Drosophila melanogaster: one gene and its partners. The protein of the gene in region 3 interacts with the protein of the main gene of each other region in a pairwise test. Each region holds a gene or a part of one and is shown on either strand. Other genes may lie near its edges.

What was found.
Region 1: the proteins of CG4991 (region 3) and CG4835 interact in a two-hybrid assay, tested with the Drosophila melanogaster proteins (one large-scale study listed by BioGRID).
Region 2: the proteins of CG4991 (region 3) and TwdlW interact in a two-hybrid assay, tested with the Drosophila melanogaster proteins (one large-scale study listed by BioGRID).

What each region holds. Positions count from the first base shown.
Region 1 is NT_037436.4:5,477,721-5,484,775, reverse strand, and holds CG4835 (uncharacterized protein), read right to left. Parts: upstream 4,987-7,055; 5' UTR 4,927-4,986; coding exon 4,920-4,926; intron 4,781-4,919; coding exon 1,113-4,780; downstream 1-1,112.
Region 2 is NT_033777.3:17,140,096-17,144,303, reverse strand, and holds TwdlW (TweedleW), read left to right. Parts: upstream 1-1,899; 5' UTR 1,900-1,991; coding exon 1,992-2,006; intron 2,007-2,077; coding exon 2,078-2,989; 3' UTR 2,990-3,096; downstream 3,097-4,208. Other genes in the region: CG5265 (uncharacterized protein), read right to left, coding at 3,266-4,208.
Region 3 is NC_004354.4:17,100,004-17,105,520, forward strand, and holds CG4991 (uncharacterized protein), read left to right. Parts: upstream 1-2,205; 5' UTR 2,206-2,249; coding exon 2,250-2,318; intron 2,319-2,372; exon of another isoform or gene 2,373-2,393; coding exon 2,394-3,397; intron 3,398-3,505; coding exon 3,506-3,681; intron 3,682-3,840; coding exon 3,841-4,082; 3' UTR 4,083-4,559; downstream 4,560-5,517. Other genes in the region: Arpc3B (Actin-related protein 2/3 complex, subunit 3B), read right to left, coding at 4,639-4,983, 5,480-5,517.

The DNA of each region.
Region 1 (7,055 bases), on a different chromosome or scaffold from region 3:
TACCCAACTTGGCATCGAGATTCAGTTTGAGGCGACACCCAGGCAATCGATATTTAATTTATAAGCATTTAATGATAAAATCCCAATTTAAAATCATTTAATCGGCCCGGCTGTAAGGCAAAGTCTTATCTTCAATTAAGTGAAATTCTTGTGACTTGTTGCTCAATTTTGGGGCTCCTCCACGATTATCCCTCTAGACACAAGCACAAATCCTTGTTTATCCTGGGTGGCTATCAAAGCGTTACAAATCACTCGAAGGAGCGCCTTCGCGCGTGTCTATCGATTCAAGTGCGACAAATGGAACGCATTAAGTTAACATTATTGCCAAACAATTTGCTCGAATTGTGTTCATTTTGTGTCGTTACTGTCATTGATGCTCACATACATAACTTGCTTTGGTTTCCTTTCCCTTTCTTCGATTTCCACAACAACAACCGCAGTAGCAACAACAAAACTGAACAACTTATCCTTGTGCTTGTTATATTTACCCTCAATTGTATATGTCCTGCCTGCCACCTCACACCCTAAGGATAATTCCTTGGCAATTGTGTTTTTATGTGGCCAACCCCAAATCTGATTAGACGAGCTTCCGAGGGTTTCAGCTTTGGGCCAAGAACGGCAGTATCAGGCTACGATAAATGGCTGAAACTTGTAACTGAGCAGGATATCAGACGTGGCATTGTCAAGGGGAAACTGCTTTTAGCCTGTTGCTAAAAATACTGTCGCGCGTTTGCGTCCCCTTGAGGGTCTTCGTTTGCAATCCTTTCGACAGGAGGTTCTGCAATTCCAATCGGCTTGTTACCTGTCCGGGGAATTGACTGTGTTAAGTGGTAAATTACTTTTTTTTTCTTGGTTCCGTTTTTTTGCGACATATTACGGGAAAAGGGTTTGCATGTAATTGATACTAAAACTGGAGCAAAGTATATGTCTAAAAAGTGAAACACTTAAAAAAGGACTTAGAAAGCCCTAGAAGTGTAATGTGTGAGGAATATGTTAAGCGATTCCCAGCTATTGAGCATTTGTGCATTTACCCAATTGATTTTTTGGGGTAGCAAAAAGAACAGAAATGGAAAAGATTATTGCTGTGATTTATGCTTTATTAATATATTTTTTTAAAATTCAATAAAAAGACACCTTTCATTGGGAACAGAGGTGCATTGAAGAAGATTATCATCGAAAATCGTTCCCTCATCGCAATCCACGGCATATGGAATGGGATAGTCACAGACGACATAGCGACCGCAATCATTGGGATACGGAAGCAGAGTTCCAAGAGCTTGGCCACAGCATATATTGGGGGTGTACGGATCTAGAGTTGTTGGTGTAGAAACTGTGGTTGTCGATTCAGTTGTTGTTGTTACTGTTGTCGATTCGGTGGTTGTTGTCTTTGGAGTTGTTGAAACGGTTGTTGGCTCGGTTGTCGTTGGGGTTGTTGAAATTGTCGTTGACTCGGTTGTCGTTGGGGTTGTTGAAACTGTCGTTGACTCTGTAGTAGTAGTCTTTGGAGTTGTTGAAATTGTCGTTGATTCCGTGGTAGTTGTTTGGGGAGTGGTTGTAGCTGTAGTTGATTCTGTGGTTGTTGTTGGGATTGTGGTTGACTCGGTAGTAGTGGTCTTTGGAGTTGTTGGCTCGGTTGTCGTTGGAGTTGTTGAAATTATCGTTGATTCTGTGGTAGTTGTTTTGGAAGTTGTCGATTCTGTTGTAGTTGTTTGGGGAGTGGTTGAATCTGTGGTTGTTGTTGAGATTGTGGTTGACTCGGTAGTAGTAGTCTTTGGAGTAGTTGACATTTCTGTAGTGGTAGCCTCGGGTGTTGTTGAAACTGTTGTTACCGGTGTAGACGAAGCTTCTGTACTTAAAGTTGTAAGCCCTGGTGTGGTTAACTTAGTGCTACAACCAGCTAGTTCGGGATCCATGCAGGTCAATTCCGTGGGACTAAACTCCAAACCATCCGGACAATCGTAACCAACTGGTATTGGATATTGGCACTTTATATACTTGCTACAGTTTCTCGGGTAGGGTACCAAGGAGTCGTCTGTCTTGCCTTCACAAATTCCATCTGCCGGCTTTTCAGTTGTAGAAGCTTCCGGGTTAGTTGTTCCTGGTTCCATTGTAGTAGATGATGGTGGTGTTGAAATTGTTGAAGGTGATTCAGAAGTATCAGTAGATAATACTGTAGATGATTCTGTAGTTTCTGTTGATTGTCCTGTAGATGATTCTGTTGTTGATTCCGTTGTTGATTCTGTTGTTGATTCTGTTGTTGATTCTGTAGATGGTTCTGTTGTTGATTCTGTAGACGATTCTGTAGAAGATCCCGTTGATGGTTCGGAAGGCGTTGTTGAGCCTTCCCCGTCTCTTGGTGTAGTCGTCGACTCCGATGGCTTAGCAGTGGTTGTAATCGAACAATTGGCGAGTGAAGCATCAACACATTTTCCAAGCTCCACACTAAATTCATCTCCTTTTTCGCATTCAAAGGCAACCGCAATGGGTCTATCGCACTGAATATACTTCGAACAATCGTTGGGATAAGCGACAAGGGCCCCATCCTCGACGTCGTCACAAGGTCCTTTCTGCGGTGGTGGTCTCGTAACCGCTGTGGTCGTTGTCGGCTCACTGGTAGTTGATGTGGTTGAAGTGTAGTCCCATCGACAGGCATCTGAAGGAACATCCGCTCCACACTTTTCAGTAATTGGATCGTAGTACTCCCCACAATTACAGACGTCCATCATGTAAATGTAATCATCCACACAGCGTATGAACCATTGACAATTGTCCGGATATGGGAATGTATCCCGACTGCTATTTGTACACATGGTCGGTTCCGGAGGAGGTCTTGTATAGCCTGGTTCTAGAGTCGTTGTGCTTTGATCACCCTCACAATCACTTTCATCCCAATCATCAATGCACTTCTCTAACTTGGAACTGAAGAATGTACCATCGGGACAGAAGAACGCTATGGGAATTGGTGAAACGCACACAATGTACTTGGTGCAGTTGTTGGGATAAGCAATATTCTCGTTCTCATTTCGACCACCGCAAATACCAGTTTTTGGGGCCACAGTTGTGGTTGTCCTTTCGGTGGTTGTAGCTGTGGACTTGGGTGTGGTATTTCTTTCGGTTGTTGTGGTCTCTGTCGTTGTTGTTGTTGTGGTGGTTGTGACTTGTGATGGTTTGCACGCATCGGGTGCCACATCAGGTCCACACTGACCTGTGCTGGGATCAAAATAACTGCCGTAAATGCAGGGTGCCAGAGTCCATTGTCCGCCGCCCAAGCAAAGATAATACTTGCTGCAATCATCCGGATAAGAAAACGAAGCTCCCAACTCCTGACCATCGCAAAGCTGATCTGGTCCCAAAGTTGTTGCCACTGTGGTGGTAGTCGTGGTAGGAGTGGTTTTTTCAGTAGTAGTAGTTGGTATGGTGGTTGGAATTGGTGTCGTGGTGCGATCTCCAAGGCACACAACATCATCTGGCTCATCGCATACAAGCAAGTCGGGATTGAAGAGCGTATTAGGAGGACAATGACCCATTTGCACTTGATTGTCTTTACATATTAAGTACTCCGAACAATTGCCTATGTAGGCAAAAATAGTGCCGTCCTTTTCATCTTTACAATCATTTGGATCGACATCAGAGGGAAGTCCATCTGTAGTGGTTACAATCTCTTCTGTGGTGCTAGAATGTATTTCCGTTGTAGACCCATCAGAAGGCAGTGTTGTAGGCGTTGAAGGAGTTGTAGTGATTGAAGGCGTCGTCGTGACTGAAGGCGTCGTTGGTTTGTTGGTTGTTCCCGGAGTTGTGGGGAATGGCAGGGGGTCACACCGCACCGAATCGGGTGTATCGCAGATGTGCAGCCAATTATTAAAGAGTTTATCCGGCTGGCAGTAATCCAAATCTGTGCAACCATTTTTGCAGGCCAAGTACCCACTGCAATTGTAAGGATACTCATAGAAACCATTTCCCTTCGGCACACAATAATCCTCTTCAATTCCCTCCGGCGTTGGACCGCAAACCACATCCTCCTCAGTTGTTGAAGTGGGCGGCATTTCTGTTGTGGTTGTAGGAAGGGGCAGCTCCTCGCAATCTGCCATATCGGGAGTATCGCAAATGCCAAGGTACTTATTGAATACCTTGTCTTCAATACAGTAATTTAGCACGGGCCAGCCGTAAGTGCAGTTTATATAGGCCTGGCAGTCATATGGATAATAATGTACCGAGCCATCCTCCTTGTTGCGACAGTAGTCATCTGAAATTCCCGGTGGTGCCGGTGGTGGATCCCAACTGGATGTTGGGAGGTAACTTGAGGGGGTAGAGGACGTTATCTCTGTACTGGTTCCGGTGGTACTTTCTGTCGTTATCTTTGCCGTACTTGATGGTGGTTCTGTGGGTTCTGGCGTTATCTTTTGAGTACTGGATGTTGGTTCTGGCGTAAATCGAGTAGTTCCATCCGTAGGTTCTGGCGTTTCAATCGAGTAGTAGATACATTCTACAGCTTGGGGATAATTACATTGCTGGGTCTTATTATCCCACCAGAGATTTGCGGGACACAACTTCACCGTGGGATAGAGACAGTCGCAAACTAGGAACAAACTACAGTTATCCGGATACGGTACCAAAGCACCAAAGTCCTTGCCCTCGCACATCACCTGGTTTTCGTATCGCTGTTCATTGTTGCAAGTTTCGTGACGAGGTTCGATCTTTGGCAGGGCCAAAACATTTAGCTGCCAGCTCCAGAATACGGCGATAACCACCAGAAGCCATGGCAAAGGCTTGAAAATATTATCTGGAAAAGGAAAGAATACAATAATAATACAAAAAAAAAAACATACAGAGACTATTACTAGTATTTAAGTTTAAATATTTATGTATAATTGACATAATAATTTATTGCATTGTACTTGCATAGAATATCTTAGATTTACCTTGCATAACAACTCCCCTTTCTAAATTGTACTATATATTTTTAATAGGTCTTTTCGCCTGCGAGTTTAACTCCACACTGACTTGTTAACTAGGCCAACTGTCTTGTCTATAGCAAAAGCTATTTCCTGATACAACGTCGGTAGCTTATATTAATGACATTTTGATTAGATTTAATTAGAAATTCTTTGAAATTTATAGAATATCGTTTTCATTCTAGTGATTGTGATTTGTGATTTTATGTTATCGTTAACTTCTGAATTATTTTTCTTAAGTGCCATTTCAACACGAGCAACACAAGATAGTTTCCGTAATATTCTAATCTAGTGATAAGCCAATTACGTATTGAAGTCTTATCGTGGCGTCATAGATTGTTTTGTTTATAAAGGTTAATTTTAAGCAAAATATAAGGCAGGAAGCTTCTCTGGGGTTTTCTTTAAGTATTTCCCCTACTGGTGTTTTTTTACACACGTATTGCTTGTGAAATGAGTGTCATTTTATATTCTTTCATTTCGAAGGTAAATCATTTTATCCTGTTCGCATGTGTTTTGTGTGCGCCTTTTGTGACTCTTATTGCTGCTGTTATTACACTTATTGTTCTTGTTCCAGTTCACGGTGTTGTTGGGTCTTTAATGAGCCCACGTGACCTTTCCGACAGCGAAGTTCGAGTCACAATTTATGATCAGCACTCGACGCGTAAATTACACGAATAAAAATGCGAACATAAACATAAATGAAGCTAGAAGTTTAATGCCCGGCAAGCCATTAAAATTAAGCGACAAAACATGAGTGGCACACAAAATACGGCATTAAGTAGAATTAGTTGAAAATGTATAAACAGATTGAAGAAATTTGTATCTCTAGTTTAAAGTGGATTTGCAAGCTGCAGTTGCATAGAAAGCTAGCCATGGTATTTCAATTTGTGCTGCAAATTACTTAAAAGCATACAAATCTATTTGTCTGAAGGATGTTTTTATGCTGTCTGGCTGACCTTTTTTCCATCCCTTCTTCAGTCGCCTTTGGGTTGACAAACAGTCACGAAGTTGGAAAATATAAAGTGCAGCCTGAAAGGACAAATCCATTAATATAAAAATAAAGTTGCATAAAAGAAAGTGCGGATTATTTAAGTACAGATTTTTTGAGATTAAAATAATAAATGGTTTTGGGTAAATTAAAGTCAGGAGTATGAATGAAACAATACTTATAGGTACTCATGATTACTCTTTTATAAAAAGATATATGAAATTTATTCTATACTTAGCATATTTTTCTTTGGAATTAGCTCAACAAATCAAATATAATCAAATGTTCCCACCTCTTTGGCCAAACTTGCTGCTGGACAATTTTTCAGCTTGATCTGTTGGCTGCTGTCAAGCGTTTGATCTGCAACAGATTGAACTATCAATTATGCCCCTGCATGCGACGTGACCAGCAACTGACATGTGCCACATGCCACACCCCATCCAAAATCTGGGAAACAAGAAGCAGGACCATCAGATGGCAATGTTAAAACGGACGTTTAGTTACAGCTGAGCACCTGCTCGCCTTTCTGTCCGCCTGGCTGCTCCTCAAAGGAATGGCGGCGGAGAAGCGGGTGAAAGCGAGGGAAAACGTGTCCTCCACGCAGCAAAGCTGCTCCTTGCCCCGTTCCACAACTCCTCCCCTTGTTTGTGTTGCATGAAATTGACCCGGTGCGTGTGTCGCCAGCGACTGGAAAGGATTCTCGGCGATCTGATGGGGGGTTTGTATATGGCGCAATGCATCCTGGGGCCTAGATTCATCACCGAGTCTGGCGGCATTCGTGTGTTTTTCCAGCTTCCAGAGATTTCACGTAAGCCCCTGTGAAACTCCTAAAAAACGTCCAAAACGTTTTTTAAGCCATATAAAAAATGTTTAATTACTAGAGAAAAAGAAACCATTATAAATTTGTTAAATATGCCCTTTGTAAGTCAGAAATAGTTGTCTGTAACCAATTTATTTTTGTAGCATTCAAAGCTTCGCAAAGTTTAAGTGATTGTTTCAAAATATCTGAAAATCCATTGGCTAAAATACCCAAGAAATTGGTACAAATGAACTGTTTGATTACCACAACCGAGTAAAAATCGAGTAAATGAAATACCGCAAAAGTGCAATCATGC
Region 2 (4,208 bases), on a different chromosome or scaffold from region 3:
TAGTTTGGGTTCGGATTCGGTTGCTAATGCTATGCATAGGAATGGACAAAGGTAGCCTATGTCAAAATCTCTCATGGTGTGAATTAATAAATTAAAATAAAATAGTTTTGTTACGCAAATCATAATTTGTGTACCGTCAACATTCACTTTTATGCTTTGACTAATCTGCGCACCGAGTGTTTTGCATTCAATAGATTTTGGCAACTTATTCATTTTGCATAAAATATGCAAAGTGCGGCAATAGTTGGCACCCATTAATCATGGTCGCATTTTATTTCCATTTAAAATTGTAATTTTCTCTTGTTGCTACTTTTGAACTAATGCATTTAGATCTATTAATTAATGACAAAGTAATTTTGGTTTCCCATTACAAACAGAAAACAACTTATCGTATATTTCTTTGACAGATCTTTGCATCTTTAATGGCCCAAAAAGGGAACATAGTTTCGGTTCCATTTCACTGTTTTTCATGGCTCACGAAATTGGCGTGAGAAAGTTGAAAACCATTTTTTTTTTTTTTTGGCATCGACCAGAAAACATGTGGGCTAACTCATTATCTGGTGGCCAAGTTGCCCTTGGCTGGTTTATTTTGATTTGTGGGCAGAATTTCACCCGGCTAATGAGATGCACCCTGTCGGATGCACAAGATTTTGAAATATATCTCAGGTGGCAAAGTGGCAAGTGTGTAAGTCCAAATTGGAAAGGAAGCAGCAAAGCTTGCTATCTCCGCTTCGATATTACACCATTTGCACATTCACTCCATTAGTATGGAGACCTGCCAATTAGCCCTATAAGGTCTATATCTGCTTGTATTCCGTATGCATCTGCTTGTTATGACAACTAATTTCCGCTGGAAGCTGGCATATCCATTTGATACGCTGTGCTTTCGATTTGATCGGGGGTTATTTACCTTCACTTTTTTAGTTTGAAATCCAATTCAAATTCAATACTATCATTTTGTCTCAATTTGGCACATTTAAAGCTGACAATATATCGCCCAACACTTACGCCCCATCGAATGGAGACAAAAACCTAGACCTTGGGCCAGACCAAAACTGATGCGAAATACTGAAGTCCCCGGCATATACAATTTTCAATTTCCATTTGATAGCTCAGGTTTCGAACAATAAAACAAAATAGAGACAATGGTCCCGTAGACAAAAGTGCATTTTAAGTCGGTCGAGTAACCTCGTCCGCCTATCTTCGTCATCAATATTTACATATTACTCTGGGACATTCAACTGATCTGCAAAAACTACGAAGCTAAACAAAACTTTTGTATTAATTTAAACGACGATTTGATTGTCCACTTGGCAGCCATGGATATGCTTGGGTATTTTAATTATATTTACAATTAAATGATTAAGTAGTTTCTCAATAAATGTTTTTACTGCCTGTATGAAAAAATCTAAATATAAATCTATAATCAAATTCAATGAATTAATTGCAATATTGAGATTGAAGTTAGTATAGTTACTAGGGATCTGATGAATGAATAGTTATTTGAATTTTGTTTATATTCTGAAATCGTATTAGATACTTGCTTGGAGTGAACGCACACTTAATATATATTATATTTATAAGGCAAATGTTCAAAATGATATAGTTACAGCTCGACTAACTTGTTTACAACAAATGCAGATTTTTTTTTGTCGTATCTGTATCACCCATTGTTGGGGCTTCCTCTCGCTCGACTTTTGTGGAACCCCATGTAAAGTCGATACAAAAGCCCACTTGCCACCCAGCCAAATGAATCCGAACAACCTCTTCGCCACGCATAACAAATGTTTTATGACCCCTCGACTGTTGCAACTGTGTTGGCTGCTGTTTCACGATTTGTTTCCGATTATAAACAAGTTGGGCCCGTGGATTGGTATAAAAGGCCAGGTGCCCGGTTGACCCATCATCACAGCACTAAGAAACTCGGACAGCGAGGGAGCATCCGGCTTAAGACAGCTAACCAGCAGAGAGACACCCACCCAAGCGGCAGCATGAAGATATTTGTGGTGCGTTGGAACTTGGACTACCTCTATGCCAATTGGATTACAAGGGATTATAATGATTGCTTCTCTTTCAGACGGTTCTGATGGGCGCCATGTGCCTGAGCCTCAGCCAGGCTGACATCAGCTTGACCCAGGCGGGTTACAACTACCGCATCCAACAGCAGCAGCAGCAACAGCAACCGCCCATTGTGGCCCACCTGTTGAACCAGCAACTGCAGCAGCAGCAGCAGCTCCAGCCCCAGCAATCCTCGCACCCGGTGCTTCCACCTCTCCCACTGCCCTACCTCCCGCCCGCTGGCCAGTTCCATTCTGCCCAGCCTGCAGTTCGTCCCACAGCCGGATCGTTTCCCATGCCCGCCGGCTTCCCCGTCAATTTCCAGACCGCTCCCATCCAGCAGCAGCGACGCGCTCGTCCGCGTGTCAGGATTCCCAAGCGTCCCATTGTGACCAAAAACTTTTTCATCCACTCGGCGCCCGAGGAGTCTGAGGATGAGGTCCAGGACGAGCTGAACCAGTTGGCCCAGCAGCCCCGTAACCACTACAATGTGCTGTTCGTCAAGACGCCGGCTCAGACCAATCGCGCGGCGGCTCTTAACTTGGCCAAGACCCTTAAGCAGGAGAAGACCGTGGTCTATGTGCTGGCCAAGAAGACGACCGCCTCCGATCTGCAGGATGCCATTGCCGAGGCGCCACAGCACATCAATAAGCCGGAGGTGTTCTTCATCAAGTACCGCACTCCAGAGGAAGCTCTGAATGCCCAGCGGCAGATTCAGTCACAGTACGATACTTTGGGAGGAAGTTCGACCATCACCGACGAGGGTGTGGCCCCCATCACCTCGGTGGTGGGATCCCTGGATCCTCCAGAGGAGGAGGAGGAGGAACAGCAACAGCAGCAACATTCAGAGGGACAATTTGCGGAGAACGGTGCCGGAAACTCTGGCGTCGGTCCCATCGGCAATCATTATTTGCCCGCGAACCAGTTCTAAGTATTCTTCATTGCTCGTCACATCCAGATCTAGTTAGCTGTCATCAACACCACTTAGGTTTAAGTGCTTGCCAATGTTACCCAAATCCGTATTAAAATATAATTGTTAAAAAAAAAACCATTGAATTTTAACTAGATGACGATTTTAAGAAGTGATTAATAGTACTTTAATAAGTCCCACTAAATGGGAATGAATTTAGCTTTCCAAACTGAACGAACGTATTATTGGAATAAGAGGAATTTTTTTGGATCCAAAGTATGTTCTAGGAAAACACATTCAATACTTGCACTTAAGCTCTGGCGGCTTGTCTTTTGAAGCTGGACATGTTTCAAGTACATCCTTCATTTCAGCAAAGGACTGCGCAAGCGCCTTGGCGATCTTTTGGTGATCAGTTGCCTGACAATGTCGCCATGCGGATATGGCCAAAATGATGTCATGTTCACGGGGATTGTAGCAACAGGCATATCCATCTTCTACAGAAGGTCCATATCCCATGAAGGCATCATATTTGGTGGCCACCTGCGAAGTGGACATTCGAAAGTGCGTGGACTTTACATATCCTGGCGAAGAGAAGAACTCCGGAACAGGTAGGCAGTTCTCCACCGCCATTAGTTTAAGTCCAAAGAGGTGACGATCGACACCCTTTCCCAGAAGCGCCAGCTTCGCATACATCTGATGGCACATCACTGCCTCGCGAATCTTACTAGCCCGCTCCTGAGCTGATGCACTCACATCATCCATGGCGTGGCAAAAAGCCAGGGATTCATTGGAGCACGAACGGATGGTTTCGGTTCGGCCGCCATCGAAGATGCGCAAATGCGCCGATTCATATTGAGCAGCTGGCTCATAGTGCAATTTAAAGAATGCCAACTGCAATGCCATCTGAACAAAGCTATCTGGACCAAGTCGCTGTTTCTTGATGAAATCCTTGCCGTAGCAATCGAACTTAAGAACCTTCATTTGCAGGTCCTGGACAAGTTTGTCCACGTTTTTTTGCGCGATTATCAACCATTGCTCCACGCATTTGCTTACATCACAGAACTTTATTTTCTTCGCTGGAATAAAGTTTTCCGATCCGCATTCCCCATAACTAGGGTCATCCTTCATCTTCTTCACTACATAGTCCATCATCATTGCGATCGGTTGGCCCTCGGCTGGTGAGTGCTCATAGGTGAATCCAACGTGTCCATTTGGGTTTACCACCAATTGAATTGTCTTA
Region 3 (5,517 bases):
AATACCTGTTCTTTAGAACAAATATTGCCAGCCATAAACTCAACTACTGAACAAATTTAGGCCAGTACTTAAACTACGTTGCTCACTTATTGTAGTTTAAGTACAATTAGTTGCAAATAATTACTTAGCTGCAATCAGGTGCGGTAAAACAATATGGATTTAATTTCTAAACAATCTCCACTCACGTTTCATATGATTGTAGATCCAAAGTAAATAGTAAATAAATAAACTAACATCGCATGACGATCATATAATTGCAATTTAGAGCAGCATGTTTTAATTCAGATAAATTAATAAAAAATACTTAGACAATTTTAAGGGTCGAGAAAGCATTTCGATAGTATAATTAACGTATAGAAGAGGGGATATATTTTTCCTGGTAAGGCAATTAATAAAAGTAATTAGCATGAATTAGAAACAATACTTAATTAAATAAATTATCATCGATTATCAGCATGTTTTATACACTTTATTTTGTTTCGTTCGTTCTCCTAATTTGAATTGATCTATGGCACATGTGAAAAGTTGGAATGTTTTATTTATTTGATGTGCAATAAACTTTGTTTGAAAATATACAGATTTATATTAACCACTGATCCATGACGGCACATCATATCTTTTATCGATGAGTGATTGCGCGCTATTTATATACTACATAGGTTTTTATATTTATTTATATTCTATCTGCCATATGTTCAATGCATTTCCCCCGTTATTTTCCAAAGAAAAGTGAGGAAAAGTGATTTTGAGTCTTGAGTCAGCCAACAACCAGGTGGAAACATCGCTTAGAAAACCATTATCGATTTTAGGATCGGCGGAATTGATCTCGCACACCCCGATCTCCCACGCATTTTAACCCCATACTTTACCAAAATAATTTCATAGTTAGTTAATACAGCAGTAATTAAGTTGATAAATTATCTGAATTAAGATTTCGGTATTTATTTAATGCACTTTTGGTTAGCATTGTTGGCTCACTTATGCCATATTTATATTCATATTTTTTTTTTTTAAACCATGAAGTGGGTGGTATTTTAGTTTGTAGCGAGTGCAGGGGGTTAAACGTTATGCGCTTTTTGCATCGCTCACACAGACAGACGCCGCTCTTTATTTCTATATAGTTTTGTTTTATTTCTGCCTTCCGACTTTTGCCTTTTGCAATTTTCGCTTTTCGCCGCTGTTGGCCAACTCGAGCATTGAGTCTGGTTTGAGTTCTTGCCGTGAGCGGTCCTACATTTCGTGCGATTCCGGCGATTCACAGAAACACTCGATACACTTGATCGCGTACTCACAGCGAGCAAGAGGTGATCATCGCCGATCGAGTGACTAAATAAATGCACATATATTCAACATATTCAATACGTACTAATCAGTGTTGTTAGGTGAGAATAACACTTGCTGCTAAATCTGCACCAATAATCCGTGTCTAATAATCATAAGAGATGGAAGTGCATCATACTGCTCATTCTGAATGTGTGAATAATTAAGTGCTGTGGCCTTGGCGGGTTAATTATTATAATTTTTTTTTTTACTTTCCGGTTCTTTAAAGTGTTTTGCTTACTCACCCCTGAGAGCGCGACAGTAATCAGTTTTTATTTCCAGTGTGCGCCTCAATAACGGATATTCTAATTTGGTTTAAAGCTCGTAAATTATAAACCAGACAAAATTAAGTGCACTTCAATATTATCAAGGTCTTGATTTTCGTAGTTTTTACTGATTGTTCTGCTACTTGTAGTGTTAAAAAAAAAAATTAATTTATAACCAAAGCCACTAAAAATATGCTAATTTCTGCAAATCACAAAATTCCGCCGTGGAAGCAATCAAATGTTTGTTGATATTATGAGGTTTGACATTGATTTGAACTGGTCAAAAGCGATGGGAATTATAATGAATCGGGCGTATTTAATTGGCATTCAGTATTTTATGCGAATTAATTAGCATGTTGTCAATGGTAAAACTGTGTCATATGTGTCTGCATTTTTAATGGCACGAATTTCAATTTCGAACTCTGTTATTATTTACAATACTTTTTATCATGAAGAACTTCTTTAAGAAAATATTTTTTTTTTCTAATTGTCACTTTCTAGGGTTAAATCTTATAGGAGAAGAGTTGAAGCTATTTAAATATTAATTTGTATATTACTATAAAGTAGATATTTTCAAAAATTTCAAGCGGCATCAAAATAATGTATTTTGTACTTATGTATGTTGGGTTACCTGGGGTTAAAGCTTAGACAAATATAAAGACAATGCCAAAGAGAGACCTAACTGTACTTCATCGCTACTTCTCTGGCCGTCTTTTTCCCGCGAGAACGCAAGTACCGTTTAAGCTTTTCTGGACTTTCTTCTAGAGCCGACGAGAGATTTTTTCAAATTTTCTATTTAATCCACAGCAGCAGCAGAGTGATCAAAAGGCGATCGAAGCAGCCGGCGAAATGGGAAGAACACTGGAAATAACCGGAAGACAGAATGATAAGAGTCTGGAGAAGAATCCGGAGCGCTTCACGAAGAATGTGACGGAGAAAGGCGCCGATCCTGAGAACGGAGACCCGGTGCGCAGGCGCGGCCATGAGACCAGCGAACTGGAGGCGGCTACGCATCTCTTCAAGGGCAGCGTCGGTGCCGGACTCTTCGCCATGGGCGATTGCTTCAAGAACGGCGGATTGGCAGGAGCAACCATCCTGCTGCCCATCATTGCGGTGATGTGCGTCCACTGCGAGCGCATGCTGATCCGTGGTTCCGTGCTGGCCGTGGAGCGCACGCCCGGCGTGGACTTTCTCGACTATCCGGAAACAGTGGAGAAGTGCTTCGAGCACGGGCCACGCCCACTGCGAAAAATGTCGCGCGTAATGAAGCTGATCGTTGAAATGTTCCTCTGCGTCACGCAGTTTGGCTTCTGCGCCATCTACTTTGTCTTCATCACGGAAAATCTGCACCAGGTCCTCCAGCAGAACGGCATCGTTATCAGCATGAGCATGGTGATGCTGATCACCCTGCTACCGGCGATGATACCCTCGCTGATGACCAACCTGAAGTACATCTCGCCCGTGTCGCTGTTTGCCAATGTGGCGCTGCTCTTCGGCTTGATTGCCACCCTGACCATAGCCTTCTCGGATGGACCCATGCCGTCCGTTGGCGACAGGCACCTCTTCACTGGCGGAGCTCAGTTGGCCCTGTTCTTTGGTACCGCTCTGTTCTCTTACGAGGGCATCGCCCTCATCCTGCCGCTGCGGAACTCGATGCGCCGACCGGAGAAGTTTAGCACCCGGTTCGGAGTGCTCAACTCCACGATGTTCTTTACCACGGCCCTGTTCATCTTCACCGGATTCGTGAGCTATGTGCGATGGGGCGAGGAGGTAGCCGGCAGCATAACGCTAAATCTTGTAGTGGAGGAAGTGTAAGTAGAATCACCAGGTTAAGATAATATGAAATTACTTGTAATGATTTTTTACATTTTATTTTCGAATCGCCTGTTTTGTTATTAATATTATTGATTTCATTGCAGTTTTTCGCAGGTGGTGAAAGTGATCGCTGCTTTGGGCGTTTTCCTGGGCTACCCCATCCAGTTCTTTGTGATGATTAAGATTTTGTGGCCCCCACTAAAGAGGTCTAATAACTGCACTCAAAAGTATCCCATTACCTCGCAGGTGTGCCTCCGTTTCTTTATGGTGATGATGACATGTAAGTGGGTTGTAAATTAAAAAAATATATATATATACAATTGGAAATGGAATCACTATATTGATCAATATCAATGATAATGTAGTAATATCCGTTTTAAATGATCATAGCTATAGCTTTTACGCTATTCGGAATATATTTCTATATGTGCTTTTCCAGTTGGCGTTGCGCTGGTCGTTCCCAAGCTCAATCTGTTCATCTCGCTGATCGGAGCACTGTGCTCCACCTGTCTGGCTTTTGTGATTCCGGTGCTGATCGACTTCGTGACGCGGGCGCAGGTGCCCAAGGCACTGGGTGTGTGGTCCTACATCAAAAACATTCTCATCCTGACGGTGGCCGTGCTGGGCATCGTCACTGGCACCTACCAGAGCATCGTGGAGATCGTCAAGGAGTTTAAGTAGGCTTAGAGAGCTAGCAAGTATATTTTGTACATAAATAATGCTGTCATTCCGCGGAACTATGTGAATGCGTTGTCCTGTTCTGATGTAAGATTAATTTGTGTATTTTTCCACTCTTTTTTTTATTATTATTTTGTTGATAGTTTTAAGCTGTGCATATTTTTTTTTTGTTTGTATGTATAAAAAAAATGTTTATTTGGCACAAAAACGAAAGGAGGCATAAAGGAAAAACATGATCTGCAGCTATAACCCATTTTAATAATTGATTACCATAGCAATAGGGCTTTGATTGTGTGAGAGCCTGCAAATGATCGTTAAAGCCATATGTATGTAATAAATGCTATTCATCGATTTTATAAATATATATGTATAAAGTATTAACTAGCCTTCAGCCAACAATGTTTAACACTAAGTTCTTTTACAAAGTGAAAAATATGCGCTTTTGAGAGCGTATAAATCAATAAACATAAATCAACAACGAATTTAATACATTCAAAGCAGTTTATTCGTAAATTTTGGTGGTAAATACTCTAAGATCGGCAGTATATTAGTGAGTCTTTTACATTCCCGGTCCCGAAAGACTCTTCTCCATGAACTTCTTCTTGGCAAAGCATATCCACCACTTGCTCGGCTTTCCATCCGGAGTATCAAAGACCTTTTCCAGCAATCTGTTTCCGGTTTCCTGGCGCAACTGCAGGAAGTACTGACGCATCAGCTCCGGATCCTCGGGCTTGGTGTATATTCCGTTCAGCGGAAATCCCGCATCTCCGGGTATATCGAACCGCGAGATGGCCAGCGTATAGAGCTCCTGCTGACCCTGCGATTTGCTTGTGCATCGGGCCAATCGCTTCAAACATTCCGTGATGTAGAGCGTTATGTAGATGAGCACCCTGTCCACCTCCGACTGCGATTAGATATACAATGTATGGGTAATAGGGGTTTTTTAAAAAGTAATTTTAAAAGTTTAAACATAGCAACAATATTCTAAGAATGATATCATAATTGATAAGACTATTATTGCTATAAGCTATATAGTAATATAAGCTATATAAGCTATAAGCTATTATTGAACTTTTAAAAAAAAATTCCAAGCTCCAAAAAAATAATTTCATTATGTAGAAATACCCAACTCTTGGAACACCATATAAGAAAGGGGTATTACTAAAAATTTAACAAATAACTTCACTCTTATCAGGCTGATTGTAACGACATATTTCTACAAATAAGGGCGGTGAGATAACGCACTTGGTTTTAACATTATAAAATTGACTCCACTAGGGCTTTAAGATTGTTTCGAAATATTTAACAAGCTGTGCCGTCTTCTTAATGTATCTTCATTTTAAAAATTAGAATATCGCCTCGCTTTATCTCTATGCTCATTTCTTTGTCCAGTCACCAACCTTAACTTCGTAAGTGCGGAAGAAAATGTTCGATTTCC